Linked DNA regions of Sus scrofa. The protein of the gene in region 7 binds, or shares a complex with, the protein of the main gene of each other region. Links are inferred from orthologs where the notes say so. Each region holds a gene or a part of one and is shown on either strand. Other genes may lie near its edges.

Evidence for each region.
Region 1: the proteins of GNB1 (region 7) and PTGDR2 are in contact, whole or in part, in a cryo-EM structure (PDB 8XXV), measured with the Homo sapiens proteins. The link is inferred for Sus scrofa from reciprocal best matches to the Homo sapiens genes GNB1 and PTGDR2. Residues at the interface, in NP_001269468.1 of Homo sapiens: Thr50, Arg52, His54, Leu55, Gly310, His311, Asp312, Ser334, Phe335, Lys337; in NP_004769.2 of Homo sapiens: Cys59, Arg60, Arg62, Lys314, Arg317.
Region 2: the proteins of GNB1 (region 7) and GNA13 are in contact, whole or in part, in a cryo-EM structure (PDB 8H8J), measured with the Homo sapiens proteins. The link is inferred for Sus scrofa from reciprocal best matches to the Homo sapiens genes GNB1 and GNA13. Residues at the interface, in NP_001269468.1 of Homo sapiens: Gly53, Leu55, Lys57, Tyr59, Gln75, Asp76, Lys78, Ile80, Thr87, Asn88, Lys89, Val90, His91, Ala92, Ser98, Trp99, Met101, Leu117, Asp118, Asn119, Tyr145, Asp186, Met188, Asp228, Arg314, Trp332; in NP_006563.2 of Homo sapiens: Ser31, Ile34, Asp35, Leu38, Glu41, Lys42, Val45, Lys50, Gly205, Ile206, Glu208, Lys219, Val221, Lys231, Arg232, Trp233, Phe234, Glu235, Cys236, Phe237, Asp238, Ser239, Val240, Arg279.
Region 3: the proteins of GNB1 (region 7) and GRK2 are in contact, whole or in part, in a crystal structure (PDB 5UKL), measured with the Homo sapiens proteins. The link is inferred for Sus scrofa from reciprocal best matches to the Homo sapiens genes GNB1 and GRK2. Residues at the interface, in NP_001269468.1 of Homo sapiens: Leu55, Ala56, Lys57, Tyr59, Ala60, Gln75, Asp76, Gly77, Lys78, Pro94, Leu95, Arg96, Ser97, Ser98, Trp99, Val100, Met101, Leu117, Tyr145, Ser147, Asp186, Met188, Cys204, Asp228, Asn230, Asp246, Ile270, Cys271, Asp290, Phe292; in NP_001610.2 of Homo sapiens: Tyr553, Gly556, Lys557, Asp558, Phe584, Pro585, Asn586, Arg587, Glu589, Pro597, Gln598, Leu600, Thr602, Glu604, Ala654, Leu657, Val658, Val661, Pro662, Lys663, Met664, Lys665, Asn666, Lys667, Arg669, Pro671.
Region 4: the proteins of GNB1 (region 7) and GNGT1 are in contact, whole or in part, in a cryo-EM structure (PDB 7L0P), measured with the Homo sapiens proteins. The link is inferred for Sus scrofa from reciprocal best matches to the Homo sapiens genes GNB1 and GNGT1. Residues at the interface, in NP_001269468.1 of Homo sapiens: Leu30, Ile33, Thr34, Ile37, Val40, Ile43, Met45, Arg48, Arg49, Trp63, Ser84, Tyr85, Thr86, Phe235, Pro236, Asn237, Asp254, Arg256, Ala257, Gln259, Leu261, Ser279, Lys280, Ser281, Gly282, Arg283, Leu284, Leu300, Asp323, Gly324; in NP_001316355.1 of Homo sapiens: Met31, Val33, Lys35, Cys36, Cys37, Glu39, Val40, Arg41, Tyr43, Val44, Arg47, Ser48, Asp51, Pro52, Leu53, Val54, Ile57, Asn62, Pro63, Phe64, Lys65, Glu66, Leu67.
Region 5: the proteins of GNB1 (region 7) and KCTD12 are in contact, whole or in part, in a crystal structure (PDB 6M8S), measured with the Homo sapiens proteins. The link is inferred for Sus scrofa from reciprocal best matches to the Homo sapiens genes GNB1 and KCTD12. Residues at the interface, in NP_001269468.1 of Homo sapiens: Arg8, Glu12, Lys15, Arg19, Thr184, Asp186, Cys204, Asp205, Ser207, Thr221, Thr223, His225, Glu226, Ser227, Asp228; in NP_612453.1 of Homo sapiens: Lys246, Asp251, Leu253, Glu255, Ser256, Arg257, Asp258, Pro259, Asp260, Arg261, Pro262, Pro263, Arg265, Arg269.
Region 6: the proteins of GNB1 (region 7) and CHRM2 are in contact, whole or in part, in a cryo-EM structure (PDB 7T96), measured with the Homo sapiens proteins. The link is inferred for Sus scrofa from reciprocal best matches to the Homo sapiens genes GNB1 and CHRM2. Residues at the interface, in NP_001269468.1 of Homo sapiens: His54, Leu55, Asp312, Asp333, Ser334, Phe335; in NP_000730.1 of Homo sapiens: Val50, Asn51, Arg52, His453.

What each region holds. Positions count from the first base shown.
Region 1 is NC_010444.4:10,890,056-10,894,079, reverse strand, and holds the start of PTGDR2 (prostaglandin D2 receptor 2), read right to left. Parts: upstream 2,801-4,024; 5' UTR 2,004-2,800; intron 515-2,003; 5' UTR 424-514; intron 1-423.
Region 2 is NC_010454.4:11,964,114-11,968,201, forward strand, and holds the start of GNA13 (guanine nucleotide-binding protein subunit alpha-13), read right to left. Parts: upstream 2,801-4,088; 5' UTR 2,477-2,800; coding exon 2,194-2,476; intron 1-2,193. UniProt on the Homo sapiens protein: Guanine nucleotide-binding proteins (G proteins) are involved as modulators or transducers in various transmembrane signaling systems.
Region 3 is NC_010444.4:5,224,708-5,228,808, forward strand, and holds the start of GRK2 (beta-adrenergic receptor kinase 1), read right to left. Parts: upstream 2,801-4,101; 5' UTR 2,738-2,800; coding exon 2,625-2,737; intron 1-2,624. UniProt on the Homo sapiens protein: Specifically phosphorylates the agonist-occupied form of the beta-adrenergic and closely related receptors, probably inducing a desensitization of them. Key regulator of LPAR1 signaling.
Region 4 is NC_010451.4:73,402,230-73,406,446, reverse strand, and holds the start of GNGT1 (guanine nucleotide-binding protein G(T) subunit gamma-T1), read right to left. Parts: upstream 2,801-4,217; 5' UTR 1,675-2,800; intron 1-1,674. UniProt on the Homo sapiens protein: Guanine nucleotide-binding proteins (G proteins) are involved as a modulator or transducer in various transmembrane signaling systems.
Region 5 is NC_010453.5:49,030,409-49,034,638, reverse strand, and holds the start of KCTD12 (BTB/POZ domain-containing protein KCTD12), read left to right. Parts: upstream 1-1,430; 5' UTR 1,431-3,545; coding exon 3,546-4,230. UniProt on the Homo sapiens protein: Auxiliary subunit of GABA-B receptors that determine the pharmacology and kinetics of the receptor response. Increases agonist potency and markedly alter the G-protein signaling of the receptors by accelerating onset and promoting desensitization.
Region 6 is NC_010460.4:12,597,515-12,601,569, forward strand, and holds the start of CHRM2 (muscarinic acetylcholine receptor M2), read right to left. Parts: upstream 2,801-4,055; 5' UTR 2,527-2,800; exon of another isoform or gene 2,208-2,526; intron 2,128-2,207; 5' UTR 1,966-2,127; intron 1,952-1,965; exon of another isoform or gene 1,748-1,951; intron 1-1,747. UniProt on the Homo sapiens protein: The muscarinic acetylcholine receptor mediates various cellular responses, including inhibition of adenylate cyclase, breakdown of phosphoinositides and modulation of potassium channels through the action of G proteins.
Region 7 is NC_010448.4:63,866,655-63,870,514, forward strand, and holds the end of GNB1 (guanine nucleotide-binding protein G(I)/G(S)/G(T) subunit beta-1), read right to left. Parts: intron 3,746-3,860; coding exon 3,529-3,745; intron 2,535-3,528; coding exon 2,428-2,534; 3' UTR 2,419-2,427; intron 2,218-2,418; exon of another isoform or gene 2,215-2,217; 3' UTR 534-2,214; downstream 1-533. Other genes in the region: uncharacterized protein LOC110261347, read left to right, coding at 176-533. UniProt on the Homo sapiens protein: Guanine nucleotide-binding proteins (G proteins) are involved as a modulator or transducer in various transmembrane signaling systems.

The DNA.
Region 1 (4,024 bases), on a different chromosome or scaffold from region 7:
CCAGCTCCCCCAGGGGCTCAGCTGTGCAGCCTTGGGCCAGCCACTTAACCTTCCAGAGCCTGTTTCCTCCTGCAACACAGGAACTAAGTCATTGAGTTGTGGGGAGAATTAAATGAGTTATGTATAAGCATTTCAGACAGAGCCGGCCATGCAATAAGCATTAAGTAAGCAAACACTACATCCGTGGCATTGTGATTGTTTTAAGCAGATGGCCTAAGACCACTTGGAGAAATAGGAACCAAGGTCAGGCTCTCCAGGACTTCTTTTCCCAGTCCCCAGAGCACTGGAGCCATAAGTGGGGCTCCAGTCAAGGGCAGGAGGGTCCAGCTGGGGTGGGGGGTGGGACTGGAAGGCAGGGTCTGTGCCTTTAAGGGATGCACCCCCCCACCACCCCAACCCACCCATAGCACCCCCAAGTCTTGCCTCTCTGCAGATCCTCTGTGTGGCCCTTCACTCCCACAGTGGTGGCTGGTTGGGTGTGTTGACTGCAAACAGTGGAACCAGCCCCCCTTCACTAGTTCAAGAGGAAATAAGATAAGAGCACAGAAAGAGCTGGAGGGAGGAACTACCAGATTTGGGCTCTGGAGGCCCAGTAAGGCCAAAAGACCTCTTCCCTGCCCGGGGCAGCCACAACCGCTCTGCCAGCCCCAGGAAACCCAGCCCTGTTCATTCATTTGTTCACTCACTCTCACAATCATTCAACAGCCATTTATTGAGCAACTACTCAGCTGAGTACTGGGGAAGCCAGCCTCCAGCCAGATGTGCAGCCATGCCAGACGTGTGCACCCACAGCCTCATCAGGAACCCTCGACCATCCGACGTGGAGCCCATGGAGATCAGTGAGGGCAGAGGAGGTCGGGGTGGGAGGATGTCTGCAGGAGGTAGGGGACTGACGAGTGGCAGGGGTTGGGAACTCAGATTGTCCTGGGTCCCTCCTGCCACACCAGGGCTGGTGTTCTCTAGCCCGTGGCCCTAGAAGAAAGGTGTTCCTCCATCCCATTTTGCAGATGATGAAACTGAGACTCAAGTGTTTGAATCACTTGCTTAAAGCCACCCCCAAAGTACGGGCATGTGGAGGAGTGGTCCTCTCTCTTCTACCTCTGCTTTTAGCAAGAAATGATAGAGAAAGAAGCGAAGGAAAGTGGAGGAGGAGGGGGAGATGGTTTTCAGTATTCACTTTTCCAGGGGAGGCACGTGGCCAGGGTGAGAAAAGCCGTAACCTTCTCCAGGGACCAAAGTCCTTTGTAGGGTGAGCTATTGTCCCTGTGGCTGCCTGAGAACACTCGTATTTTCTAACCTTTGGAACTTGCAGGGCAATTACACTCACAATGACCCCGTGAGACCTCAGTTTCCAAAAGATACAACAGAGGTTCAGAGAAGCACAGCAACTTGCCCAGGGTCCCTCAGCTGCCGTGGGGGAGTGGGAACTCTATACCCAGAAGATGGACCCATGCCGGTCCCTCTTGTGCTGAAACGTTCCCTTTAGCCCAGCCTAAGTCCCGTGGGGGTGCTCACAGAGCACACTCTGCTGTATCCTGGGGATACACCCAGACTGACCGGATGGAGTCTGGCCCCCAGCCTCCCAAGATTCCCAGGGAGGCCAGGAGTGAGCGTCCTGTTTGGGCAGGGGGCTGGGGGCTGGGGGCAGAGAACGCAAGCTTCTGGTATCAGAGACCTGGATTTGAATCCCAGCTTCTGGACTTCCCGGCTGGAGGAATTTGGGTCAGTTACCTTAAGACGCGTGTGCCCCTCAGACCCAGATTGCTCATGAGCCTGGAGAGAGAAGCTTGAATGGTTTGCCGCTGTGCTTGGCATCTGGTTATTACCTAAGAAAATCTAATTCTCTCTTCCTTGCAGCAGTAAGTCTCCTCCAGTCTTTGGTCAACCTGACTCTGTGCCATCCTAGCTGATTACAGCCCTCCCCCCTCATAAAATGGTGCCTCCTCTCGTGGGTCCAGAGAGGGCACTGAGGCTGCCCAGCCCCTGGGCCACCGCCTCCTTACCTGGGCACAGAGGGAGCGCAGGATTCCAGCCCCGGAGGTAGTCAGCTCCTGGCAGCAGAGGCAGGCAGAGGCAGGGGAGTGAGGCTTAGGGAGGAAATAACTGTCAGCCCCAGAGTGAGTGTGTGTGTGTATTTAGGGGCGGGGACAGCTGGAGAGTGAGTTGTCACACTGGTATTCAAGTAACATCCATCCCCACTGATGGGGACTGGACATAATTGCTGGCAGCCCGCCTCACTCTCTCCCTTCACAAAGGAGATTTTGCAAAAGCCCGAGGTCAAGTGTAAGTGCGCATGGGGAAATAGGTGAGGGCCAGAAAGTGTGAACCCGAGCGTGCACGGGAGGTGCTCTTGAGAGTGAGGAGGGCGCCTATCCACTGTCTGTCCCCTGTCCTGGGCTGCCCTCCCCTGATTCCACCACCTTCAGGAAAGAAACTCCTGCAGCCCCTTTAAGCTTCCCTTGGCAGCTCAGCAGCTGCCTGTGAGGGGCCCCGAGGCTCTATGGTCGGAAAGGCAGGGTGAGGCCGTGGTGAGAGCACAGGCCTGGCTGTCTTTGCTGCCCACAGCCCTAGCCAGGACACCTCCCTCTGCCAGCCCCTGTTTGACCATCTGCGACCAGAGCATCTCCTGTCATCTCCCAGGCTGATTCAGGCATCCTCATTCACAGAGTACCCAGCATGCAGGATGTGCTCAGAAAAATCAGGTTTCTTCCCTCCCGGGGAAAAACAGATATAGGCTGTGGGGCAAGGGAAATACAACTTTTATTTTAAAAGACCTGAGGAGTTCCCATTGTAGCTCTGTGGGTTAAGAACCTGACTAGTATCCATGAGGATGCGGGTTTGATCCCTGGCCTCGCTCAGTGGGTTAAGGATCCAGCGTTGCCACAAGCTGCAGCGTAGGTTGAAGATGTGGCTTGGATCCAGCATTGCTGTGGCTGTGGTGTGGGCCGGCAGCTGCAGCTCCTCTGGTTCGACCCCCTAGCCTGGGAACCTCTGTAAGCTGCAGGTGCAGTCCTAAAAAGAAAAAAAATTAAAAAGGGCCGGTTTCTGGGCCCATGCATGAGATGACTGAACTGTGTTCACTTACACTGAACTGTTACCTAACTCTTCAAGCCCCTTTGTTGACCAAGCTTCCTGGGGTCAGGGACCTATTCTTCAACCTCAGGGTTGGAGAGATACTCAAACATGATAAGAGCTCAGTACCCCCAAATCAGGGCAAGGACACCCCATAGGATTGATACAAAACTCTCCCAATTTTGGTATAGGCTTAATACAGGACCTTGGCGCGTGATAAATTTGCTGAGAGCCTGTGATGCTGCGTGAAGAATGTGTTGGGGAAACTTTCTCACTGTTGTCCAGGATGGCAGGTGAGTAGGAGCCTTGAGCACTAGGAAAATGTCCCCTTTCCTCTTAGTGACATGGGGCTCCGTCTTCTAGAGCCAAGTGCCTGCAGCCCTCCCTAGCTGGGTGTTTCTACTCCACTTTGGGGAAATTACCTTCATCCCCACCCACACCCCACCTGCTAAGCCAGGGACATCCTCTGAGGCCACATAGGCAGTGGAGTGTGGCAGGTGACCTTGGGCAAGTCAGTTTACAGCAGTAAAATAGGAATTTATTTTATTTTGTTTTGCTTTTTAGGGCCACTCCTGTGGCATATTGAGGTTCCCAGGCTAGGGGTCTAATTGGAGCTATAGCTGCCAGCCTACACCACAACTATGGCAAAGCAGGATCCGAGCTGCGTCTGAGAACTGCACCACAGCTCACGGCAACACCAGATCCTTAACCTGCTGAGCGAGGCCAGGGATCAAACCTTCAACCTCATGGTTCCTAGTCGGATTTGTTTCCACTGCGCCACAATGGGAACTCCAAAATAGGAATTTTTTAAAGGTACTCTTCCTGCACAGCCCCAAAGCAGTGTGAAACTGCTCTTTGGGCTTAGAGAGACTCCCCCCTTCCCGCCTATAGACACATCTGAACTCTAGGGCATCAGGCTTGGGGCAAATCCCAGCCTTCTGCCTGGATCTCC
Region 2 (4,088 bases), on a different chromosome or scaffold from region 7:
TTCCCTAAAAGGAGGAAGACCAATTGCAAAAACAGTATAAAAACAGAGATTTCAAACTCATGGTGATTAATTCAAACCCATTATTTCTATCATTAAGCTGTTACTTTTAGTCCCTCTCAATAATCACATGGCTCTTAGGTCACTTGTTTGGATAACTGAAAAACTGTTTGGCTGTCAATTTTCTGATCATGCCAACTCAAAAAAGTAGATGGCTAGTGACTTCATCTCATAATCAAGGCTCAAAGTAGGTCACACTTAGAAGTCAGAGCACATTGAGAACCAGGTGTTAAAAGAGGGCCAGGTACAGTTCCTGTCGTGGCTCATCAGAAACGAACCCGACTAGTATCCATGAGGACGCAGGTTGGATCCCTGGCCCTGCTCAGTGGGTTAAGGATCCAGTGTTACCGTGAGCTGTGGTGTAGGTCGCAGATGTGGCTCAGATCTGGCATAGCTGTAGCTGTGGCTGGGGCAGAGGCCAACTGCTATAGCTCAGATTGGACCCCTGGCCTGGGAACTTCCATATGCCATGGGTGCAGCCCTAAAATGACAAAACAAACAAACAAAAAAACCAAAACATGAAAAACAAAACAGGGCCAGATGTTTATTTAGCTGGCTTATAATCAGTTAACATGTTAACTATTCACTGACAGAACTCCTTAAGTTTGGGCATCGGTATACAAAGGTACCTTCAATTAGAGCCTGGTTAGGCAGAGTCTTCGGCTTTGAAAGACACCTCAATTAATGTTGCACTACTAAACGTTAAGAAGGGATAAATACAACCGGTTTTTTTTAATAACTTAACTGCAGAGGTACTAGGGCTGGCTGTGGTCTATGAGTTCCTGGCGCAGTGCTCTCCCCCGTTATTAGCTTCACAAAGCTTCCCCTTCCCCCCCCCCCAAGCAGTTTTCCTCTACTCAATCCTGGGAGAAAAAAAAGTGACACCAGAGAGTAACTTAAGCACTTCCTGAACAACAAAAAAATCCCACTCAAAAAAATGCTGCTTGGAAAAGCTTGAAATCTATAGCGAACTCCTAGATAATTGCTACCCAGATGCAACAGAGAGAATCCTGACACACCTGAAGTACCAGACTCCGTACCGCAACTTTGGCAAATGCCTTTTATAAAGTAGAAAATATGATACAAAGAAAATGAAGTGCTAATTAACACTCAAACGACAAAAATAAAATCCCTCTTCTCTTAGCTCTTTGAAAGACCAGAAATAAAGTTCTTGTGCGTTTTTCACTTATTAACAAGGCTTAATCTAACTTAAAAAATACTGACAAACAGAAGCAGAGCCGACACTGATTCACTGACTCAACTTGTACAGGCTCTGCATCACTTCTAGGCCAAAGATTCTTTATTATCAACACACAGTTTAATTTAAGTAGTAGAAGCAAGTGGTGGTACCCCTTCCCTCCGGCCCCCAGTTACTAAGCAAAAGGAGAGTGGAACGTGTTGCATAGTGATTACAGGCAAACATCCTGCCCCACCGTGACACCCGGGCGAAAAACCACCGCTGCGAACTTTTTTAGACTAACTAAATGGGGCTACTCTTTCCTGACGCCAGTACAATAAACAGGACACCCTCAAGTTTCATATCCTTGCCCCAAAGGGTCCAAGAGCAGTCACCGTTCGCCCTTGACCAGAGTCTCGGGCAAAAGTTTCCTCATTGCGATGGTTCCAGAACACTGGAAGGGCCAAGGAAGCAGGGAAGTGGGAGCAGCCCCGATCCCATGTGACTCGGGCACCCACCCACCCGGGAAGGCGAGGCTGGGCAGGCAGCGCTGGGGCGTGGGGTCAGGGTGTAGGGTCTGGGGCTGGCTCTCGGGTCTGCTGCCTCGTCCGGAGGAGGGAAGACAGGAGGGGGCACCCCGCACTCCCGGCACCCGGCTCCCTTCACTTCCCTTCTCGCAGGGGGCGAGGCCAGCGACGGAGTGGGGGGTGGGGGGCCAGCCGGGATCCCTGCCCCGCAGCAAGAGGGAAAAGGGGCACCCCCAGGCATCCCCTCCGCTGGGGGCAAGGGCACCCCGGGCAGGCAGGGTCGGTGCCCGGGGCGCGCCCCCTTCCCGCGCGCCCGCCCGCCGGGCCCGTTTCTACTCCGGGGACTGAGCGAACGAGGGCGGTGCCCGGTCCCGCGCCGGCCCGCGGCCGCCCCCGGCCCCCGGCCCCCCGGCTCCGACCCCGGCCCGGCACCTTTGATCACGTTGCTGTAGATGGTGGGACGGAACTCCTCGCGCGCGCGCTGGTCGAAGTCCTGTCCGTGGATGATCCGCATCTGCTTCAGGAAGGTGGACTTGCCGCTCTCGCCCGCACCCAGCAGCAGGATCTTCACGAGCCGCTTCACGTAGGTCTTCTCCCGCGACAGGCATTTGTCGATCTCTTTGGACTTGCGCTGCTGCTCGGCCTCGCCGCTCGTCAGCACGCAGCCGGGGAAGCACACGGACAGCACGGACCGCGACGGCAGGAAGTCCGCCATCTTGCCGCCGCCGCCGCCGCCGCCGCCTCGGCGGGCCCCTCCGGCTCCCTCCACCTCCTCCTCGGGCGGCGGGCGGCTCCGGCACCGCGGCTCGAGGGCGGGGAGCGCAGTGGCGACCCGAGCGCGCCGGGGGAGGGAGGGAACCAGCGAACTGACTCGCAGGGCGGGCCAGGCGAGCCGGGGAGGGAGGGAGGGAGGGAAGGAGGGCGGGCCTGGGAGGGGCGGTGGCCCGGGGGACGTGCGCGTGCCCGCTGCCTCCGGGGGCGCGCGCGCACGCCGCGGCGGCTCCTCCGACCCGTGCGCTGGGCCGGAGAATCACGTTCTACTGTGAATTCGCGGCCGCCGTCAGGCGCGCGCGGGGAGGGGTTGAAGGGGTGGGGCCTTGTGTTCATGTGATCTCGGGCTGGGCGCCTTGCAGAGCCAGCCTTTCTGTTTCCCTTTAATTAGCTGCACCCACTTACGCGCCCAAGGGCTGCTTCCGGGAGCCCTGGAGGCTGGGGCCCGGAGAGAAGAACTCAGATGCAGCACTTTGGGTTCCCCAACCGCTCCCGCCGCGGTTACGTGCGGGTCGCCGGCTGTCATCGTTCGCTCTCCTAGTTTCGAGGCCATTGGCTTGAATGTTATTCAAAGAGCGAGCGCGAGTTGGGCAAGTTTTTGGTGCGTTTTCCTAGAGTATCTTCCTTGACATCCTGCTCTCACAAACTCAAAACGTTAACCAAACATCTTCACATCCTCCCCAACACCGGCCCGCAGCTCTCTTCGGTATTCTCTGAGCCCTACAAAGATCATCTCTTGGAGGAGAAAGACTTCGTGTTGATGTTAATCTGAGATGGGCGAGGAGGGGTTGTTGATGTCTCATTGATGCGGATTCCAACCCAAGCTGCTGAAATCAAGATGTAGCTGCAGTAGGGTGAGGTCATGGTGAAAATCCCCCTTAACCGGACACTGTGATGCAGACTCTTCCCTAACAAGGAAGCAGATAAGCAAACAGACCGAGGAGAAGAGCCGGCAAATTTTAGGTTTCCTGCCAGATTACAGAGGATATGACCAGCCAAGGGACTTTTTTCCTATCCTAATAGCAGATTCAGGCCAGGACACCTGAAGGGCTGCCAGGAGACAAGCGACCAGTGACAGCTGGGTTGGCCCCCAAAAGCCAACTTCTTCATTCTTGGTATTCTAGTTTTAAGTGCAAAAAGGCTTTTGGGGTGGTCTCCGTTTATGGCAGTACAACCCTAATGTTCCTTGATGAGAACTTCTGTGGCTCAGAAACGTCTATGCGTCAGAAACTGAAGAAAGAGGTCAGCACTCCCAAGAGGCTCAGGAACAGGTTTAAATTTTAAAAATCAGTGCTAATCAGTTCACTGTCTGGGTTGGGTTAATGTCCGAGGAGCCTCATGACTCAGTAAACTGGCTGCAGTAAACAGTGCCTGTAGTGGGATTATCTCCTCTTGTCCTGGCCAAGCCCACAGGGTGGACAAGCTACAATATACAAAGTAGTGTAGGTTCAACTCTTAATATCTAAGGATTGTTAGGGCCAGAATCACTAGGTGGTGCCTTCAGGTAAAATATAGGGTAAACGTCTCTCCTGGTTGCAAGATCTCTCTGTGGCCTC
Region 3 (4,101 bases), on a different chromosome or scaffold from region 7:
AATGGCACCTGTCACAGACAGACCTTGGCCTTTCTCCCCGACCTTGACCTCAGGTGGGCAAGACATGACCTCAGGTGTGGAGCTGAGCCTTGTGACCCAAGACAGTTATGGTGCTGGGGGCTGCCCTGCTGCTTCCAGGCCACCTCACAGAGCCACAGCTCCCCGGGCAAGGGGTGCCAACTGGCACATTCCGCGAAACAAGGACCGGGTGAGGGCGGAGGTACGGAGCGGGCGTGCGGAAGAAATGAGGCACAGCAGGGGCAGAGCACGTGGGAGTCCAGAGACCCCAAGTGCCATCTCTGCCTCGCCTCCGGGACCAAGTCTCTGAGCTTCAGTTGCTTCAACTATTAAATGAGAAAATACCACCTGCCATGCTTGCTTCCCACAGTTTTGTGAAAAGGATAAAATGGAGTAAAAGGCACTCTGCAAACTGGGACGTGCCAGGCAAACGTACGCGACAGCCTAATGATGTCCAGGGCAGGAGGCCTCTGACCCAGGAGGCCTCTGACCTGTGGGCAAAGCACAAAGCAAAGGACGGCGTCTCCTCCGAGGCGGGAGGCCCCTCGTGGCCTTGGTGCAGGAACGGCCACTGCTGGGGCCACTAGTCCGTCTCATGGCGTGGGCCATCTAGCCAACATCATGCCGCCAGATCGTGACCCTACGTGAGGACTCACAATACCTGGTTCTCCGGCTCTTGCTGTTCCCCTAAAACTCCCGGCCCACCTGGTTTCAGACTCGACACAGTCCTGAAATTTCTTGAGCAACTACTACACGCGAGGCACGGCCTTGCCAACCCCACAGGTTGGTTTTTGGCTCGACTGAGATGACACATGTCCCAAACAAGTCAATTATTCTCATTTCCACCATCAGGCCTACCGCCGCCATCACGATCATGGCGGGTAAAGGGACAGGGAAAGGACCATCTTGGTTCTCGGGGTTCTAGCACCTGCAGAGCCAACCCAAGGCGGGGCCCCGTCGGCAGCAAAGCATTCTGGGACGAGATTACCCAAACGCAGAGAATTCTAGAAAAGGCCCCGCCTCACAGTTTACACAAGTCCGACCCACAGGAGGGTCTTGAGGCCCGCGGCCACCACGGAGAGTCACTGCGAACCCCAGAGGTTGACGCCCCCATTTCCTCCCTCGTGGCTTTGTCATTTCTGAACTCATTTTGTTCTAACTGTCGCTGCTCCCTGGACAGCCCCCAGCTGACAGTCAGTCTGGTTCCTGTTTTGAGAAATCTGATTGCAAATGTCTTAAAAAGGGGGGGGGTGCCCTAACGGCCTTTTCAAAATGCAGACCGATTTTCCTCTCCCAGGCCTGGTGTTCAGTCAATTCGAAAGCCAGCAAACAGGGCCCAGTGGAGGGGACCGGAGATGCTGGCCCCGCAGCTTTGGGCCCTGCTTCAGACACTCAGGATGCCACGGTCACAGTCCTTATTTCGCACCCACCGCGTTTCACAGATGAGAACACTGAGGCCCTGAAATGGGAAGGGACTTGCCCAAAGTCACATGATAAGACCATGACAGCTCAGAGGGGCCCAGGCTCCTGGGCCGGCTGGGCCGGCTGGGCCTCAGCATGGCAACTCCCAGGCAGAGATAGAGGAGTTGCTGGGACTGGTGGTAGGCCCGTGGCTCTTGCAGTTGCAGAATAACAGGTCCCCGCTCAGGCCAGAAGGGTGGCCACATTGTGGAACCAGCAGCCGGAAGCCCTGATCTGGCAGCCAGGCACCACCCTGGACTACCTGTGACACTGAGCAGGCTACTCCCATCTGGGCCTTCGGCTTCCCCACCTGTTCCACACTGGTTCTACCCACCCATGGGCTGCTTGACGCTCAAACAATGGGAAAATACTCTAGAAGCCATAAAACACTGGACAGCCTGAGCTACTGCCTGTATCCTGTCTGTTCCTGTCCCTAAATCCTGAACAGTTTAAACTTTGATATCAGGTGCAATGTCATCAGTTGTCTCACAGAGAGGTGGCAGCCGTGGTCCAGCTGCTGCAGGGGTGCCGGGACGTCCCCTGGCAAATGGCACCCACAGGGCACCGCAAGCAGGGCCTGCCGGAGGACGAATTCGCGGGGAGAGGGACAGATGGTGTCTTAATGGGATGGGGCGCACACCGTACCCTGCTCCCCACCACCGCCCCAGCCCCTAAAGCCGAATTCAAACCCCACCCCAAGCCAACGACCCACCCGAAGAATGGGGAAGACCCAGTATCCCCCAAACCTCAGGCAAGTGTCCACCCGAGGGGGCCAGGGTGGGGGCAGTGGCACCCGGGGGGCGGGTGCTGGGAGCAGGGGCAGCGGAACGAAGGGAGGAAGAGTCCGGCCAGGCAGATGGGGCAGGCAGGGGAGGGGACCCAGGGCTACCCGAGGAGAATGAAGGGGAGCAGGGAGCCCCTGGGGCCGACAGAGACCGGGGCCAGGCAGAGTGTGTGACGGGAGAGGGAGGCACAGTGGGGCAGGGGGCACCGGGCGGGTCGGGGAGCCAGGGGAGCTGGCAAGCCCGGCGCTGGGGCGCGCCGGGTTCAGGTGCACAGGCCCGGGGCGCCGGGGGCAGAAGGGGTCCCGGGGCCAGTGCCCGGGGGTCTGGGGCCGCGGGGCGCGGGGCCGGCGCCCGCCTCACCTGGGCTCGGGCAGCAGGATCTTCTTGCTGGCGCGCGCGGCCGGCGTGGCCTTGCTCTTCTCCATGGCCATCAGGTAGCTCACGTCGGCCAGCACCGCCTCCAGGTCCGCCATCTTGGCGGCGGCGGCGGCCTCTCCCGCCGCTCGGCTCCGCTCCGCTCCGCTCGGCGCGCTCGGCCCGGCCCGGCCGCTCCGTCGGCCTCGGGCGCCGCCGCCCGCCTGGCCCCGCTGGGCGCCCGCGGCTCCGCTCGCCGCGGCTCACAGGCGGCGCCGCCCCATGGCGCCGGCTCGGGCCCGGCCCCGGCTCGCTCCGCTCCCGCCGGGACTGCAGTCGGGCCGCCGCCGCCGCCGCCGCCGCCACCGCCACCGCCGCCGCCGCCGCCGCCGCCACCCGCGCCCCGGAGCCGCCGCCGCCTCCGGCCCCGCCTGCCGCGCACAGCGCCAGCGAGCCCGCGAGGGGCCGGGCGGCCGGGCGGCGGCGCCCCCTGGAGGCCGCGCGGGTGGCCTGAGACTGACCCCCGGGGCCACCCGGACCCCGTCTCAGCTCCGCCCCGTGGCCTCGGATCTCGGACCCCAACCTTCAGCCGAGACCCTGACCCCGGACGTGGAACACGGCAGGGACCTGGCCCGAAGAAGCCCCCAGACCCAGACCTGGACCGCAGCTCGGATCCCAGACTCCACAAGAGGCCATGGCCGGGACCGCAGACTGGCGTTTCAGAACGTAATCCCAGGGACTTGGGTCTCAGAGCCTGGCTGTAACCCCTGACCCCTGACCTTGGACACAGTCGGAAATCGCACCGCAGACCCGGATAACATTCCTGACCCCAGACTCCGAACAGGACCTCAGACCTAGACCTTGGACCACCACCTCAGACTCTGACCATGGCCTGGGATCAACACTCTGAGCCCACCCCCCCGCCCTTCACATCCAGACCCTACCACTGACCCCAGACCCAGATTGTGGACCATGACCTCAAACACTTGATGCCACCCACGGACCACGACCTCCATCCCACCTTGGTTGCTGACCCCAACCTTGATCCCACCCTCAGACTCAGACCGCTATCATGACCCTAAACCCTGGACTTGAGAGCAGGGCCCAGACCCAGATGTGGGCCATTCACTGCAGACCAGGGTTCTAGACCCAACATCAAAAACTCTGAACATGGTGAGTTCCCGTCGTGGCGCAGTGGTTAACGAATCCGACTAGGAACCATGAGGTTTCGGGTTCGGTCCCTGGCCTTGCTCAGTGGGTTAATTATCCGGCGTTGCCATGAGCTGTGGCATAGGGTGGTGGCTACGGCTCTGATTAGACCCCTAGCCTGGGAACCTCCATGTGCTGCAGGAGCGGCCCAAGAAATGGCGAAAAGACAAAAAAACCCCAAAAAACTCTGAACATGGACCCAGGACCAGGACATCCAACTGGGACTGAGACTGGACCTAGAACATTGAACAGGTTGCCATGGACCTGGGAGCTG
Region 4 (4,217 bases), on a different chromosome or scaffold from region 7:
AATGCCCCTTTGATGTGAACTAATTTCATTTTCAGGCTTACTTGCAGATATAAGGTATTCTTATTCGAAGTGTGGCTTATTACAAACAAGTACCTTAAGAAACTTTTGTTTGTTGAGTCCCAGAAAGAAATATATTTTACTTTGTATCTCAGTACATACATAAGTATAAAGAAGAGACACAAGTTTCAGGAAACCATGCTCACCCTTGTCACAGGAGATGAACTCTATATTTTCTATCTGTTTCACCTTATTTTTTTAAATGTAGCTTGTGCCCTCTAAATTGGTTTCAGAACCCAGAAGTGGCCTCACGGCATTTCCAAAAACACTGTCAAGTCCTCTTAATAGATCATCCCCAGGTAATACCCACTCTCTAAGGATCTACAACACTGTATCTACGTGGAAAATATTTTGATAGTGTTAAGACAGCAGTAGAGTTAAATTTCTGTACATTCCAAGTGTTTCTAACAGGTGTAACCCCTTTTGGTGTTCAAAAAACATCCGTGGCTGACAGAGTCAATTTTATCCTCTTGAGAGACCCCAGAGCCTGATCTTTGATTCCACTTCTCCCATGTCGTCTTCCCTGAAATCTTCTGCCTGCAGGGAACCCTCCCCCCCCCGCTTTTTTTTTCTTTCTCCAATATTGTCTCTAACAGAAATAACACCTTAATTTGTCTGGATCTTTCTTTTACACTTATACAACACACAGTTTAAGGTTTATAATACCCCCATGCCATCTTTCTCACTAATGTTTAGACTTTTGCTTTGTCTAAGTTATGGTTAAGGGTTGTGGTCCCATACACCTTCAGTAGCTTCATGGACCCAAGCCCCATCCTCCTCTCAGAATGCCAGCTGTCAATAAGCGATGTAGGATGCCCTAGGATTAACCTTCAACAGAAAGATCTCCCTGTGCTTCCTCGATCAACAGAATGCAGAGAACAACAATACCCTCCACTCGGCAAAAGACCCTCCCTGATTCAATGTTATTGCCATGATTTGGCTACAACAGGGAAATTCTCAATGCTTGGCCCCCGGAAGTTGACCATAAGAGATATTCAAACAACTTTAATAATTCTCTGCTTGTTTACACCAAAAGAGGGTAATGAATGTTATGTAAGAGAGTTCTTATGGGAGGGCATGATCAGGTGTTGGCCGATCAGCAGCTGCTGGAAAGAAGGGAACTACTGAACCCAGGACAATGTCAAAGCACAGAGTGAATATTCATATTTATGTCTTGAACTCAGAAGAGTTCTTGTACAGGTTTTGTTTGCATTACTGTGTATGTGTGTTAATTTGCAAAATTCCTCTCCCAATTGCCCTGCTACCTTTCCTAGTCACATTTTTTTTTTTACAGCTAAATACATCATTCCTACTTAGATCCCCAGAATCAAGGGACTGTAGAATATTCTCTTGCAGTGGGGCGGTGCTGTAGGGTTTGAATGCATGGTGACTCACACACAGCCCTCTGGGTCACCAGACTGGAGGTGGCAGGGAAGGGGGGGGAGCGAGGAGGGGAGAAAGAGCCTGAAAAACAAAACCCCTAATAAGGTCTGGTTGGAGAACCAATCTGTCCCCGGACCCTGTCCCATGAAAGCCCCCAATCACATGATTTAGGTGTCCCTAAAGTCCCCTTAGGGTGAGAAATGGGAGTTCAAAATAGGACAGAAACACACGCACCTTTTGCCTAGTGCAATCTCTCCAGGGCAGGGATCACAGAACGGATGGGTGTAGGTTGCCGTCCCATTCACAGGGCACCTCTGTCGTCTGAGTGCTTAGGAGAAACTCGGACTGCCCCGGAAAGTGTTCTGTGTTGTTGTCTGGCTTTCTTCCCGTCCTATTTGGTTGCTGTTGCCTTTATTTCTTTTGCTGAGTAAACAGTGTTGGTAACCTGGACGGTCCACGACCACCTTGCAGTCTCAGTCTCGGGACACGGCGAGATGTTGCTCTCTTAGCCCAAAGTCCCTTGAACAGAGTTAGGAAAAAAAGTGTCCGCTGCTGCCTTGCTCTATCCAGCGGTGGGCTAAAGGATGTTGAGGGCTGTGCGTCCTTGGAACCAACTTGCCCGCCTTCCAGAGCGCTCCAGCCGGCAGGAGTAGCGCCCTGCCCGGAATCAGATTGTCCCGGGCTCCTCCTGGCATCAATGGCTTTAGTGGGGGAGAGGCACTCGAGACCCCCGTCTTCCTCACCTCCTCACTGTGCTCACTCCCCGTCGTAGGCTACTGTGCCCACCAGCAGCCCCTACATGAAGGGAGCTGTTCCCCTCAATCCAGTCTGCGCCTCCAGCCCCAGACAGCTGCCCAACTCTGAACGCTCTGGCAACACTTTGCGGACCCCCCAGCCCCTCTTCTTACCTCCTGCCTCCCAGCTCCTTCCCTTGCTTTCTCTCGGCACCCCAGTTCCTAGACAAACGTTTTCCCACCCATCTCCATCTCACTTTCACCACCTCGCCCACTGGAGACCCTCTCCACAGGCTCCCAGGTGGTGCTGTCCCCCAAGCAGCGGCTGAAGGAGCCGGGGTGGCACGGTCTCTAGGGGTGGGTTCTTTTGGAAACTCACCTCCCTCCGGAATTTGCGTCCTCTGGGGAGGGGGACAAGGCTCCTAGAAAGCTATCTCCCTGTACACTATGAATCCCCCAGCCCAGACTGTCACCCCCTCCCCAAGGTCTAACTCGGGTCCCTCTCCTGCTTCTCGTGTTTACGCCGCTTTTTACTCTTGGGGTCTCGTGGGGTGAGCCCCCGCGGGGACTCGAGCTAGGCAGCCGTGCGGGTGCAGCCCCACTCGCGGGCCAGGGCGAGAGGGGCTGGCGCGTAGGCGCTCAGAGCTCTCCTGCTCCCCCTCCCTCTCCAGGGACAGGAGCGGGCTGACGGGGGCGGGAGAGTTCGGGGGCGGGGGGGCTGGCGCTCATCAATTCCGCTGCCACCTCCTCTGCTGCCCGGGAGGAGGGAGAGCGGGCAGGGAGGGGCGGGGGAGCGGGCAGGAGAAGACTTAAGTCGGGAGAAGTTTGCGCAGAGCTCACAGCTGGGAAGGAAGGCGCCGGGAAGGTGAGCCTCTTGGACTTTGGGGAGGTGGGAATCAAGCATGGGGATGAAGCCCTTGCCTTTTAGCCTATATACTAGCTGGGGCTAGGTGTAAATGATCACTTAAGGCAGAATTAGAGTGTCAGGAAATCGGGAGAAGGGCAGGAGAGGGAGCGCTCCGGACTAATGTACTTTGCTCTTCACTAGGACGGCCAGCCCCCCAGACCCTGGGAGGGCTGCGCCGCGCCTTTCTCGGACCTTCCTGGGCTGGAGAGGTGCGCGCCGTCCGCACCTCGCCCAGGGGCTGGAATCTCCAATCCAGGAGATGCGCGCTGGAGCCTGAGTTCCTGAGTCTCTGGAGCCACCACCTGCGAATGACCTTCGCTTCCACTGAGCTGTGCCCGGCAGCCCAGTGAGACTGCTCCAGGTAAGGAGGGTCTTGGAATGAGCTGGGCTTTAAGATTTAGGATGTTCTCTAGGGGATGGTTAACAGTGGAGATGCGCCAGATACCTTGTTTTTTTGATGACAAAACTGCACTTTGATTGTGATGTTTCAGGTTCTGATTAGGGTCGACTTAGTCTCAGTCACCTCACCTTAACATTGATTAAAGAAAAGCTCGTTGTCTAGGAAGGTACTAAAACTTAGGGTTTCATATTGACAAATCCTAGGATTTTGTGTGAGTTTTACTTGCCGTTAATATAAATTTTCCTCCAAAAGTTTTATTCTCCTGCTTCCTGGGTATGAAAATTAGACACTGAAAATTGTGGATTTTTTCTAAAAGGTATTTATTAACTCATAAACAGATAATATCGGCATCTATGTGATGTGTCACAGTTGTTCTAGATATTGGAAATGAGTACAGTGGTGAATGGAGTTGCTTCTTAAGTCATGTTTTACAGAGAATTATTTTCCAACAATCATTTATGCATAGCAGCCATTCTTCACACCTATTAGGAAAAATATGTTGTGTGCGTAGTTTCCAAAAGGGTACTCTTTTTTCATGATGCTCTTCCCAAGCCTGGGTGAAAGACATCATGAAAAGCTCTCACAAATTAGTTCTCCTTCCCTAAACATTCATTTTCCTTGAGGTCCAAGGAAATCCAGTCAGAGTCAAAAATCAACAATCCAATTAGATTTTTAACCCATTATTTAGACTTTATTTTGCAGATCTACCTAAGAAAAGCTCTATCTAAAAGCTTTA
Region 5 (4,230 bases), on a different chromosome or scaffold from region 7:
TTTTATTCATGGTTTTTAATCTCCCTGAAGTGGATTACCTTATCTATGTATTTATTATATATCTCTCTCACAAGACTCTAAGCCCCAAGAGGGTAGAGATCATTTTTTTTAACATGTTGCTGGAACATAGTAGTAGACTTTTAATAAATATTGGTGGAATAAACAAGTGAGCAATTAGATATTTATCCAATGCCTATTATATACCAGTTATGTTCTAGGCACTGGGGATGTGGTGATGAATCAAGCTAACTCAAATCTATGACCTCTTAGACTTTGTATTCTTTAAAATTAAAAAAAAATTGTACACAGTTTTTAAAGGTTACTTTCCATTTAGTTATTACAAAATACATCCTTGAGCCTAGCTTATACCCAATAGTTTGTACCTTCCACTCCCCCCTCCCTATGTTGCCCCTCCCCTTCCCTCTCCCCATTGGTAACCACAAGTTCTTTGTGAGTTTTCTTCCTTTTTGTTATATTAATTTGTTGTATCTTTTAGATTCCATATGTAAGTGATATCATACAATATGTGTCTGTCTGACTTATTTCACTTAGTGTAATGTCCCCTAAGTCTATCTCTGTTGCTGCAAATGGCAACATTTCACTCACTTTTATGGCTGAGTAATATCTGAACTTTATATTCTAATGCAGGGAAACAGTAAACAAAATGGGGAAAGGGACGCTGCTTGAGTGGGGCTGTATGTTAAATAGGGTGACCAAGGGAAAGTTTTGCTACAGAGACCCAAAGAAGGAGAGAAGGGAGGTACCTGAACAAGGTGAAGAAGATAAGATGGGGAGGAGAAATGAGTCTTTCAGCAAAGCGAGCAGGATGTGCAAAGGCCCTGAGAAAAGAGTAGGGCTGGAAACGTGGTTAAAGCAGTGAGCGCCTGAGATAGTGGCAGGGGATGGGTCTGAGAGGTCCTCAGGGGACAGCCCCAATCTCGTAGAGTTTTGTAGGCATTGGCGGTTTGGGTTTTACTCTTTTTTTTTTTTTTTTTTTTTTTGTCTTTTTGCCTTTTCTAGAGCCGCTCCCCTGGCATATGGAGGTTCCCAGGCTAGGGGTAGAATCAGAGCTGTAGCCACTGGCCTACGCCAGAGCCACAGCAATGCGGGATCCGAGCCGCGTCTGGGACCTACCACAGCTCACGGCAATGCTGGATCCTTAACCCACTGAGCAAGGCCAGGGATCGAACCCACAATCTCATGGTTCCTAGCTGGATTCTTGCGCCACGACAAGAACTCCTGGGTTTTACTCTTTGTTGAGATGAGATGCCAGTGAGGGGCTTTGAGCAGAGTGACATGATCTGACTTAGGTTATAATAGGATCCTTCTTTTTGTTCTGGTGATAAAACACTGTAGGAGGCAAAGGTGGAAGCAGGGTGGTGGTGAAACATGTGAATAGCCTGGAAGAATTCTGAAGGCAGAACTGACAGGATTTGCCGCTACAATGAAAAAAGTAATGGTACAAAATTATGTACAAAATTGATACAAAGAAGGCTTTTCTTGGATTTACAGAAAAGAGACTTTTTTTTTCCCCCCAGGTCTGTGACACTGATATAACAAATAGTAGCACAGCCACCTAGGCATTCAGCATGGGAACTTGGAACTTTTGTGTCAGCTGTTATTATATCAAAGACAAAACCAACCAAACAAAAAAGCGTGGTCAAATAAATTCAGTACCAAAATCTGTACTTGCAATTAAGTGAGCTGGTTTGGGGCTTGATCTTAGTACACTGACATGAAATGAGATAATTGTTCAGCAGACGTAAACCTTTTAAGTGAAAATGACACATCCGTGAGGGGACTGTAAAGCTCATTGGGTAGTTATGTAAAAGGGGAAACATTTTTATCAAGAACAAAGATCTCGCCTGATATATACTGATTTGACAGTCTGTTTTTCAAACTTGATCTGATAATTCCTTAGATCTCTGACCCTTGCCTACCCGGTGACACTGATGGCGCTTTGGAGCCTACTCAGCCTTGCGTTCTTCTACCAGTGAGGCCACATAGCTGGTGCACAATAGATACTCATCGACTTGCTGATTAGACATCCTTCACCACCCACTCTTCCGTCCCCTTTCTGCGGTTCTCAGGAGCACTTTATTTACCAAAGTCAGAGATCAGATCATCACTCACAAATGCGAAATTTCAGAATGCGTGGGGGTTAGAGCAGGTGGAAGGAGCCATTCAAGGCCCCACCCGCCACGTGGTAACGGGCGAATGAGAATGTGGAGGGAGCAGGAGTTAGAAGACCACAAGGGATCTGGAGAGGGCCTTCCAGTGTTCGAGGACCCTGAGACTAGAAGGAATTTAGAGCGGGATGAACGGAGTGACCCAGGCCCGAGGGAGCAGGGGCACTGCACCTCTGGGAGGATAAAGACGCAGAGGTTGAAAGGGAGGTTCTCCAAATTACATTAGATCTTCTAACCCTCCAAGTCTCAGAACGCGATTCACCTGGGGCCACGGAGACGGAGCCTTCCCTTTAGGCCTCGGCAAACACGTCCCTTCAGGCTCAGCAGGAGGCAGCGTCCGCTACCTAGAGGGGAACGCGCCCCGAAGCCACTGCTTTAACTCACCCAAGTTCCCCCACTGCTATTTCAGCCCATTTCCTCCAATTTTGAGGTAGTCCCAACTAACGAGCTTGCGTCTTTACCCAGAAAATCCTGCAGCGGGATACCGAGGTTAACTTTTTGTTTGTAGGGATTTTTTTTTTTTTTTTTTTCCCGAGGCTACACGTCCTAGCGAACAAAATCTAGCTGCCTCCGGGCTGAAGCGGGCCCACCCCAGCGGGAGGTCTTTCCATATTTTTGGTCTCTGGAACTTTCAGCAACGCGGCGATCGGCGTGTTTACGAAGAGGCACAGTTCCCGTGTTCAAAGCGGCTAGGTGGGGGGAGGAGGGGCGGTCAGGCACTTCCACTCTTCGGGTGAGGAGAGCCTGAAAGTTTACGTATTCCTTCCACTGGCCCCGGAGCGCTTAGGAGGGAAAGGGGCGTTCTGATTGCCTCTTCAAAGAAGGCTCCTCTGCCGAAGCGCAGATCCCAGGCTCCGTCCACTCTGGAAGAGGATGAAAGTTGGGCGGGAGCGGGAAGGGGATGGAGCGCGGGTCGAGGAGGGGTGGGGAAGTCGGGGCGCCCGGGCGGCGCGCGAGCCGGGGTGGAGCCAGCAGCTGGCCACGGCGTCAGCGTTTAAGATGCAAATCGATTCACCGCTCCACCGCCCCCTCCCGCCTAGGGAGCGAGGCTCCGCCGCTCCGCAGCCGCCCCCGCCTCCTGCGCGCAGCGGCGCTCGGGCGGGCGGCTCTACTTAAGCGGCGTGCGGGCCGCCACCCGGCACTCCCCTGGAGCGCGCGGGCGAGGCAGGCAGAGCGCAGCGGGGCTCGCGGGGGCGCACAGCGGCGCGCTCGCAGGGTGCGCTCGGCTCCGCGCGGCTCTCGGCTGCAGCGGCGGCAGTGGCCGGGGCGCAAGGCTGAACGAGCGTCCGGGAAAGCGGCGGCTTCGGCGCGCGGCCCGGCTCCTGGCCACTGCCCTAGCCCGGCCACCTCTTGGCCATGGCTCTGGCGGACAGCACTCGTGGATTACCCAACGGGGGCGGCGGCGGCGGCAGTGGCTCCTCGTCGTCCTCGGCGGAGCCGCCGCTGTTTCCTGACATCGTAGAGCTCAACGTGGGGGGCCAGGTGTATGTGACCCGGCGCTGCACGGTGGTGTCGGTGCCCGACTCGCTGCTTTGGCGCATGTTCACGCAGCAGCAGCCGCAGGAGCTGGCCCGGGACAGCAAAGGCCGCTTCTTTCTGGACCGAGACGGTTTCCTCTTCCGCTACATCTTGGATTACCTGCGGGACCTGCAGCTCGTGCTGCCCGACTACTTCCCAGAGCGCAGCCGGCTGCAGCGCGAGGCCGAGTACTTCGAGCTGCCCGAGCTCGTGCGCCGCCTCGGGGCGCCCCAGCAGCCCGGCCCCGGGCCGCCGCCGCCGCACTCGCGGCGCGGGGTGCAGAAGGAGGGCTCTCTGGGTGACGAGCTGCTGCCTCTCGGCTATGCGGAGCCCGAGCTGCAGGAGGGCGCCTCTGCTGGGGCGCCGTCGCCCACCCTGGAGCTGTCTAGCCGCAGCCCGTCCGGGGGCGCGGCTGGCCCACTGCTCACGCCTTCCCAGTCGTTGGACGGCAGCCGGCGCTCGGGCTACATCACCATCGGCTACCGAGGCTCCTACACCATCGGGCGGGACGCGCAGGCGGACG
Region 6 (4,055 bases), on a different chromosome or scaffold from region 7:
TCTTCCCCAGAAAAAGCCCCCCCAACACCCCGCGCCCCCCCACCCCCCTTCCCTCCCCCCAGTGGGCTCTGCCCTAGGTTGACGGAGGAGGGGGGGCTGAGGACCGGGGGGCTGAGGTCCGGGGGTGCTACAAACTCAGGGTCACTACTGCTCTGCAGGGGCACCTTCCCCTGCCCCCAGCTCCCTAAACCCCACTCTCAACCCATTCAACTGCCTTTCTAGACGGTTTCTCTCTGGAATAAGAGTTGGCTCCCCTTTCCTCCCACCCAGTGCTTTGAGGAGCAGAGGCCAGAGGTAACTGAACTGTGGCCATAGAGGTGGCTGTGGCTGTAGGCACCCCAGGGGTGACAGACGTGCTGCTGCAGGCTGGAATTCAGGTTGGTGTGTGGTAGAGCGTGAAGATGTATGTTTGTGTTGCTGGTTGCCTGCACTAGAAGACTGGCAAACTACACGAACCCACTGCCACCCAGTGCTAAGAAAAAGAGCAAGAAAAGCAAAACAAACCAAAAAAAGAAAAGAAGATGAAAAGGAAACAAAGTCAATGCGGGGGATTCCTAAGCTTGAGGACCTCGAGGCGCCTTGCTCTTGCTGGGCTCACTGCGCCTGGGTAGGTGGACTTGGAGCCCTTGGTGGCGGGTTACATGAGGTCATTAAGGACATGCGAGGGCAGCTGGGGTGAGATGTCTGCGGACAGCTCTGCTTGGCTTAGGCGGTTACCTCCATTTCTCTGCTCTTCTCCCTCCTCTCCTTCTCAAGTGACTCCCAAAGATATTACCATGCAGGCACCATTGATCTCAAGGCCTGGGACTGGCAAGCGCTCGAGAGAACCCTCCCTTGAAAGATTCTGTAGCTCAAAGGACGCCGCCGGCAGGAGGGTAGAGAAAGGGGGACTTTGGACTGGACGGGGCTGAGGCAAAGGGTATGTGCTGCTCTCGGAATCTGTAATTCCGGGCAATTCTGACCTCTTCAGAGCTCTCCTAGGAGATCAGCCTCCTGCCCCACTAGGGGCGCGGGGCGGAGCGCACAGATGGAATTTCCTCGCGATTTCCCCTGCGGGGGCAATTGAGGGTTCCCAAAGCTGCAAGTTAGCGGCGATTGCCCAGGTCCGCAGGTGCGGACCTTGAGGGACATAGAGGGTGCAGCTGTTCCCAATCTATGAGCGCGAACCCCGCTGAGGTGGTCCGGAGCTCATCTAGAGGTGGCTGTCAGTGAAGCCCAGGCATGGTCCGTCCGGTTGCTCGTGGACTGCCTTCAGTTCGAGGTGGACAGCCAACCTCCTGCGTGGGCCAAAATGGGATGTTGCAGAAGACTACCTATTCTTCTGTCCTGGGTCCCTTTCCCCAATCTTACTCCCCTGCCCCGTGGCCACATTCGTCAGACCACAGTACCAAGCCTCCCTCCAGCGAGCTGGCGCGGACGCCCCAAGAAAGGGCTGTTCGAAAGGCGGAACCCGAGGACCGCGAGGAGGAGCCGGAGGAGACAGTGTAGCCAGGCCTCCACCCCAAACGCCTGGAAGACCTGGCCAGACCCCCTGGCGGGAAGAAATACGAGGGGCTGAAGAGGGCGAAGCGCTCCCTTCTTCTCCCAGCAGACTTCTCGGGGAGAAGGAGGGAGCCGGGTGACAGAGGAGGGAATGGCTGGCTGAAAGAGGGCGCAATACCCTGGCCGGCGCGGCCCCCAGGCTGCCTTCGCCACATTCCGCTGGACCCGGTGACCCGCAGAATTACGCCCCCGCCACGCACTCTACCTCAATGGCCCCTTCTTTCCAGACCCGCCATCGCTGTGCGCGGTTCTCCAAGCTCCAAGAGTCAAAGTTTCCGTTTGCAGATCTGCACTTGTGGAGGAATTCTCCAATTCCCTAACCCTGGACGCCTCTGTGCCCGTCCCTGGGGGTTGGGAGGGACTCCGCAGTGCCTGGGGGCCCGGAGCCCGCCAGCGGAGAGCTGGGCAGCGCGGTGTCCTTACCTGCCGCAGGTTTAGTTCCACTTGCTCCCCGGGCTGCAAGAAGCTTGGTGTGGGCTGGCAGGAGTGGGGAGCCCTTCGCAGGTTCGGGGCTGATCCTCCGGGGAGCGAGCTGCGCGCTGTTCAGAGTCCGAGGCCAGGCGCCGGCTTGCTTTCTCCCTTGATCTAGCAAGCGAAAAGGAAAAGATTAGTTGGTGCCGAGACACCCGGAGGGGTGGGGCGGGGGAGGCGGGGAGAGAGCGGACCCAAGGCTCCGGCGAGCGCTGCCGGGCGGGCTCGGGCGCGCGCGCGAGCAGACGCGCACTTCGCACCAGTCCCAGTCAACTGGCGAGTCTGGAACCCCTTCGCAGTGCAGACTGGAGTGAAACCGACGCTGCCTCCGCCCTCCGCACCAAAACGCCAAAGGAAAAGCAAAAATGACTTTCAAACCTGGCCTTCATAAGGAAGATGAGTCTGGAGAGCAAAACCGAACCGAGACCTGGCTGGACCGGCGAGCTGGGCGGGATTCATTCCTTCACCAAAGTGCTTGGGGAAGTAGTAATCAGCGTAGGGACAACTAATTACCAATTAGGTCTGTGTCCCTGGCGATTTCCTAGTAGGATCTGCGGTTTCACGGCTCTGGCTAACCCTCAGGCTGGCGAGTGTGTGCGTTCGTGTGTGTATGTATGTTGGCGTGCGTGTGTGTGTGTGTGCACACGCGCGCACTCGCTGGACCGGGTCTCTGCGCCCGGGCACTTTTGGTATAACAAGAGAGCGTGCCGGTGTTCGTGCGTGTGGGTTTGATTAGCTGCAATGGGCGGACAATTTCTGGAGAGAACATTTACAATTTTCTTTCAATATGACAGGATTAGTTGCTGTTGAAGGCGCTCCTCCAATGAAATCTTCTCTGCTCTCTGATTCGGTGGTTCTTCTGAGCAAATATGACAGCCTTTTCTCCAGGCTTCTTTCCGCTCCTTTTCACGTCCATCCCCAGAGCCACGCTCTCCATCTGCAATCTCTACAACAGAACATTTACAGTTAGTCTCATTCCTGCGAGTATATCTTTGCTATTAAGGTGACATGACTTATTGGGAAGAACGCAGTGTTGCTTTTTGATTGCCGAAGATGCTTAAGCCCAGTTTTTCCAGGTGGGAAAATGTTAGAACAAATCTGCTATGCTTTGTAAACATACAATTGTGCTGAACTATTCACGGACTGTTTATTTGGGGGGGGGCAGTGGCAAATGTATTAAGAGGGTGAGGTAATTTTTTTCTTTTTCTTTTATACAAGGATCGATGTCCATGTTTTCTTAATAGACATTGGATTAAAAGTATTTATGATGCTTCATGGAATACGGTATCTCCAAGAAAGAAAAAAAAATGAGGATATAAACTTTTCATGTTCAAATCAGTCTTAGGTTTTTATTTTTTCATTTTAATGAAAACCCATTCCAACAAGAGCACTCATTATTTTTAGGTACTTATCCCAACTGGTAAAGGTACAATGATCTGATTCTAAAATATAGCTGAGGACAAGACTTGCTTTTGTGAAAGTATGTGCATATAAATATAACACCAGTGTATGAAATATCTTAAGGCTGCATTTTCTCTCATCCACCTTCTGCAATTAAATGAAAAAAGTTGAAACCTTAATTGATATATCTGGTTAAGTTCAGTTCAATTCTTGATGCCCAGGCATTTGCTAGCTGTCAAAGGGAATACAGAGTAGCAAAAGTCATTGTGTCTTTCCTTTATAAATAAGCTCCTGGTCTTCTTGGCAAGGAAAGACACCCATGACCATCAAGGAGAACAACTGTGCAGCATAAAAATTTACTGATAATGAAAATTCTGTAGATGAAAGAGTTTGCCCTTTTTGTTAACTTACATCTATCACTAAGCAGGATGTGGCGCAACCGTTTTTGGCTTGATTAAAGTCATTCTGAAATAATGCATCGTACACTGTAGTTCTGCCTTCAATGCTCCACACTCTCACATCCCACCATCACTGGGAGATTATAATATACTTGTCAGAAAATCAAGACAGCTCTATCCAGTCTTGATCAGAGCTTTCCCAGATTTGGTCCTTGACATTAAGTATCTGATTTTGTCATTCCT
Region 7 (3,860 bases):
TGAGTCCTGGCAGGAGCACCCAGGAGACCCCTGCAGACGTGCTGACCCCGCCGGCCCTCCCCTGCGGACAGAGCCAGGAGGACCCTCGCTTCCCCCACTCCCTGGGGTCACGAAGAGGGGGCACAGGGCCCTCGTCACACACACTGAAGTTTCTGTTTCTCACGCGTGCTGGCAGATGCTCTTCCTCTTACAAGGCTGTACAGTTCTTCTCTGGAGACCAAGACGTGGCCCTGGCACAGGGTGGGATGCCTGTCCCTGGAGGAACGGCCACAGCGTCTCAGGGCGGAAGAGGAAGGACACACCACCAGTGGGGGCGCAGGCTCAGGGAGGGGAAGGTAGGTGGGACACGGGGGAGACTCCACTGCCCTGGGCACGGCCAGGGAGGCGGGATGAGAGGAGGGCTGGCCGAGGCACTGCCGCGCGATTGGACGGGGCCACCGGGGGAGGGCGACAACCTCCAGGAACTGAAGCGGCCCCACAAACGAGCAGCCACAGCAAAGTCCCTCATGTCAAACTGCTTTATTACATCTTAAATAACAGTACAGTTGGATATAGGATCTATCTCGCATCCAGCTTCCTGGCAGTACACGGACTTAAAAATTAAATACAAAAGGAGAAGGGCAGGGTGCAGAGAGCTCTACGGAGGAGGCGCCGACAGGGGAGGGGCGCGTCCCACCCGCTGCAGGCCCAGGCCAACCGCGCCAGCAGTTTGCACAGGATGTTGCAAACACAGGATGGAGAAGCTGCTGCTGCTGCTGCGGGAGCGCTTGGGTGCAGGGGGAGGCCGGCCGCTGTCCAGACGCTGCTGCTCAATCCTGGGCCCGACCCCAAACCAGGGAGGTCCGCTTGTTAGAAAGGGTTGGCCTCAGATGCCAGAGGCTGGTTCCCAGGGAGGGCCAGGCCGTGCAGAACTCACAGCGTGAGGCTGAGGTCTCGATCCCCGCACTCCCCGCCCCAATCCGACAGCAATCGCTTGGAACAGGACTTGATTTTTAAAGAAAGAAAGAAAACAGTGACTTATCCCGCTGCTTGAGCGTGTGGAACCGCTAACTGCGCGGCTTCCGATGCGATGCGTGTGCACAGAGGAGCAGCGCTAAGTGGACAGAGCTGCAACGGTTACAATTTTCAAGAGGTTATTTCTTAAAAGAAAAGGAACATCTAAGGACTGAGTCCTGTATGCACTTTTGAGCATTTCTACAGCATGCGATTCTAAGAGTAAACCCACCCAATATGGCAAACAATCAACTTTTTTAAAATTTAACTTAGAAAGTTTGAGATCATTATTTTCAAAACATTAATTTGTACACTGCTTCATACACAGATAACGGACCGACTATCCAAGCACAGACGGGCACCTCTCTGGCAAACAGACTCCTGACGGCTGCGGTGGGACTCGGGGTCATGATGCGCTCCTGTTCGATGCCCCCACTGTCGCCAGGAGACCCCAGGTGAGACTAAAAGCTGAGCTAGAGGGCAGAGAGGGCCGGGCCGGCCGGGCGGGACGAAGAGGTGCCTGACGGGCGTCCGCAGAGCGTGAGAGCCTCGGCTTCTCAGCATCCTCCTCCTCCTCCTCCTCCTCGGCCGTGTTCGTGCGCAATCATCACGTGACACTAGACGCCAAGTAAAAAATCTAGGGACTAAATGTACATCGTTAACAATGGCAGAGAGGCTGCGCTAGACCCTCTTTCTCTGTTTAACTACGGAACAGAAAGGAATATATGTTAAGAAAGAAATGCGAAGGTTTGCAAAATCCTGTTACAAACACCATCTGCAGTTCAGAGTCCATTACAAGATGCGGCCCCAGCCGGTTCTGCCTAAACATCACAAAACAGGGTCACTCATCTTGACTCCAAAGAAATGAGTGAAAAGGTGTGTCTGTCTCACAATTACACTCAAGTTTACCTTCTGGTTAATGTTTTTATTATTGTATTTCCTTTTCAATTCATTCAGGACAAAAAAAAACACAAAGGAACAGGAAGAAACAAGAACAGTGGTCCCGCAGGAATGCACACGATTTGCTTAGTTTACAGCACGGAGGCTCTGCTCTCAGTGGGAATTGTGCTCTTGGTTTCGGCAATAGTGAAGGGAGAAGATCTTGCCCTTTGGAAGTCCGGAGGGGGTGCAGGGCGTCCGCGTTAGTGGGTGGGTGGGAAATGCTATCACCGTGACGCTCCCAGGCTGGAAGGGCCTCCCAGTCCCCGCGGCGTCCACCTGCTGCTTTAAACAGAGTTAGAGATGTGAAAAGAAACAGACCCCCACGTGCAGCTCCGTCCTCACCACGGCTCCGAATGCTGCCCTCACCCCGCATCGGATTCCAAAACCCCCGCATCAGAGCTCATCGAGGAACCCTGAACCCCGACTGCACCGGCTCACGAGAAACACAGAGCCGCATGCAGAGGGCGCCTGGCCGCGCGGTACCTGCTGGCGTTAGTTCCAGATCTTAAGGAAGCTGTCCCAGGATCCCGTCGCCACGGCCATCCCATCGTCCGTCACCCCCAGGCAGCTGACGCGGTTGTCATGCCCAGCCAAGACACCTGAGAGCAAACCCTAGCAGTCGCCCGAGGGCCCGGGGTGGCAGCCCCAGAGCCCCCGGGGCCAGTCTGCAGTGCGCAGTGGCCGGGCAAGGACATGAGGACGGAGAAAGCCTGGTGAGGCGGGTGGGGAGGGACGGGGTGCCTCCTGCAACTCCCGCCAAGGCCAGCGAGGCCGCTGTGCTCCTCTCGCACGGGGGCGGGGGGGGGAACGGGGGGGGGGGACGGGGGGACGGGGACGCGCCCAGGGCCGGGGAAGCCCTCAGACAGAAGGGAGACAGGGCAGAGCGGCTGGGAGTGTGTGTGTGACCACACGACTGAAAGGCACAGACAGTCCCAGAGCCCAGGGCCTCCTGCGCGGACTCCTGAGCACTCACAGCAGTCAACAGCTTCAATAAAAACAGCAGAAGCACAAGAGAAAAAATCCACACCACCCCATCTCGGGGGAGCATCAGGCCAGAGTGATGCCCGCGGCAACCCCAACGTGAGACGGGTCCGCAGTTGCGCGCGGCAGCCTGGTGGGTAATCACCTGGGCAGGGGGAATCTGAGGCCTGGAACCTCAGGGGGCCCTGCCCACCTTGCACGCTCACCAGTGTTGGTGCAGGGGCTGGGGGACCGGTGGGGGCTCGACACAGAGGGGCAGCCACAGGCGGGAGCCCCGCTCTGGCCCTCCACCCTTGCAAGCACTGCCGGCTAAGAGCCGCCGTTCAACTTCTGGCCCCAGGGTCCCTCCTCAGCCCTGGGACCACCTTCCGCACAACCTGCCCCCGAATACACGCGTCAACGGCCCCCCGCCTGCCTCTACTGGGCTCTGCTTTGGCGGGCACGGCGGGGGATGCCTGCCTGGATTCGTGCCCCAACACGAACGACGGGAAGGAGGGAGCAAGGCTGGCCCTGCCACCACCCCTCTGCTGGCCACGTGTCAGGAGATCCTGTGCCTCTGGGAGACCCCGCCTGAGTGCCCCGGAGGCCGGGGAGGCCCCGGCAGCCACCTACCTGCCCTGTCGGCCTTGAGGGCGTCCCAGACGTTGCAGTTGAAGTCGTCGTACCCAGCGAGGAGGAGGCGCCCGCTCTTGGAGAAGGAGACGGAGGTGATCCCGCAGATGATGTTGTCGTGGGAGTAGGTCATGAGCTCCTGATCCGCGCGGAGGTCGAACAGCCTGCAGGTGGCGTCGTCCGAGCCAGTGGCAAAGGCGTTGCCGTTGGGAAAGAACTGCGGAGAACGCACACACGGAAAGTGGGCATGCGCACGCCAGGCGAGCCTGGAGGCAGGGCTGGGTCCCGCGGGCAGGCAGGCCCAGGGCAGGGACCTGCACAGAGCGGTGGGC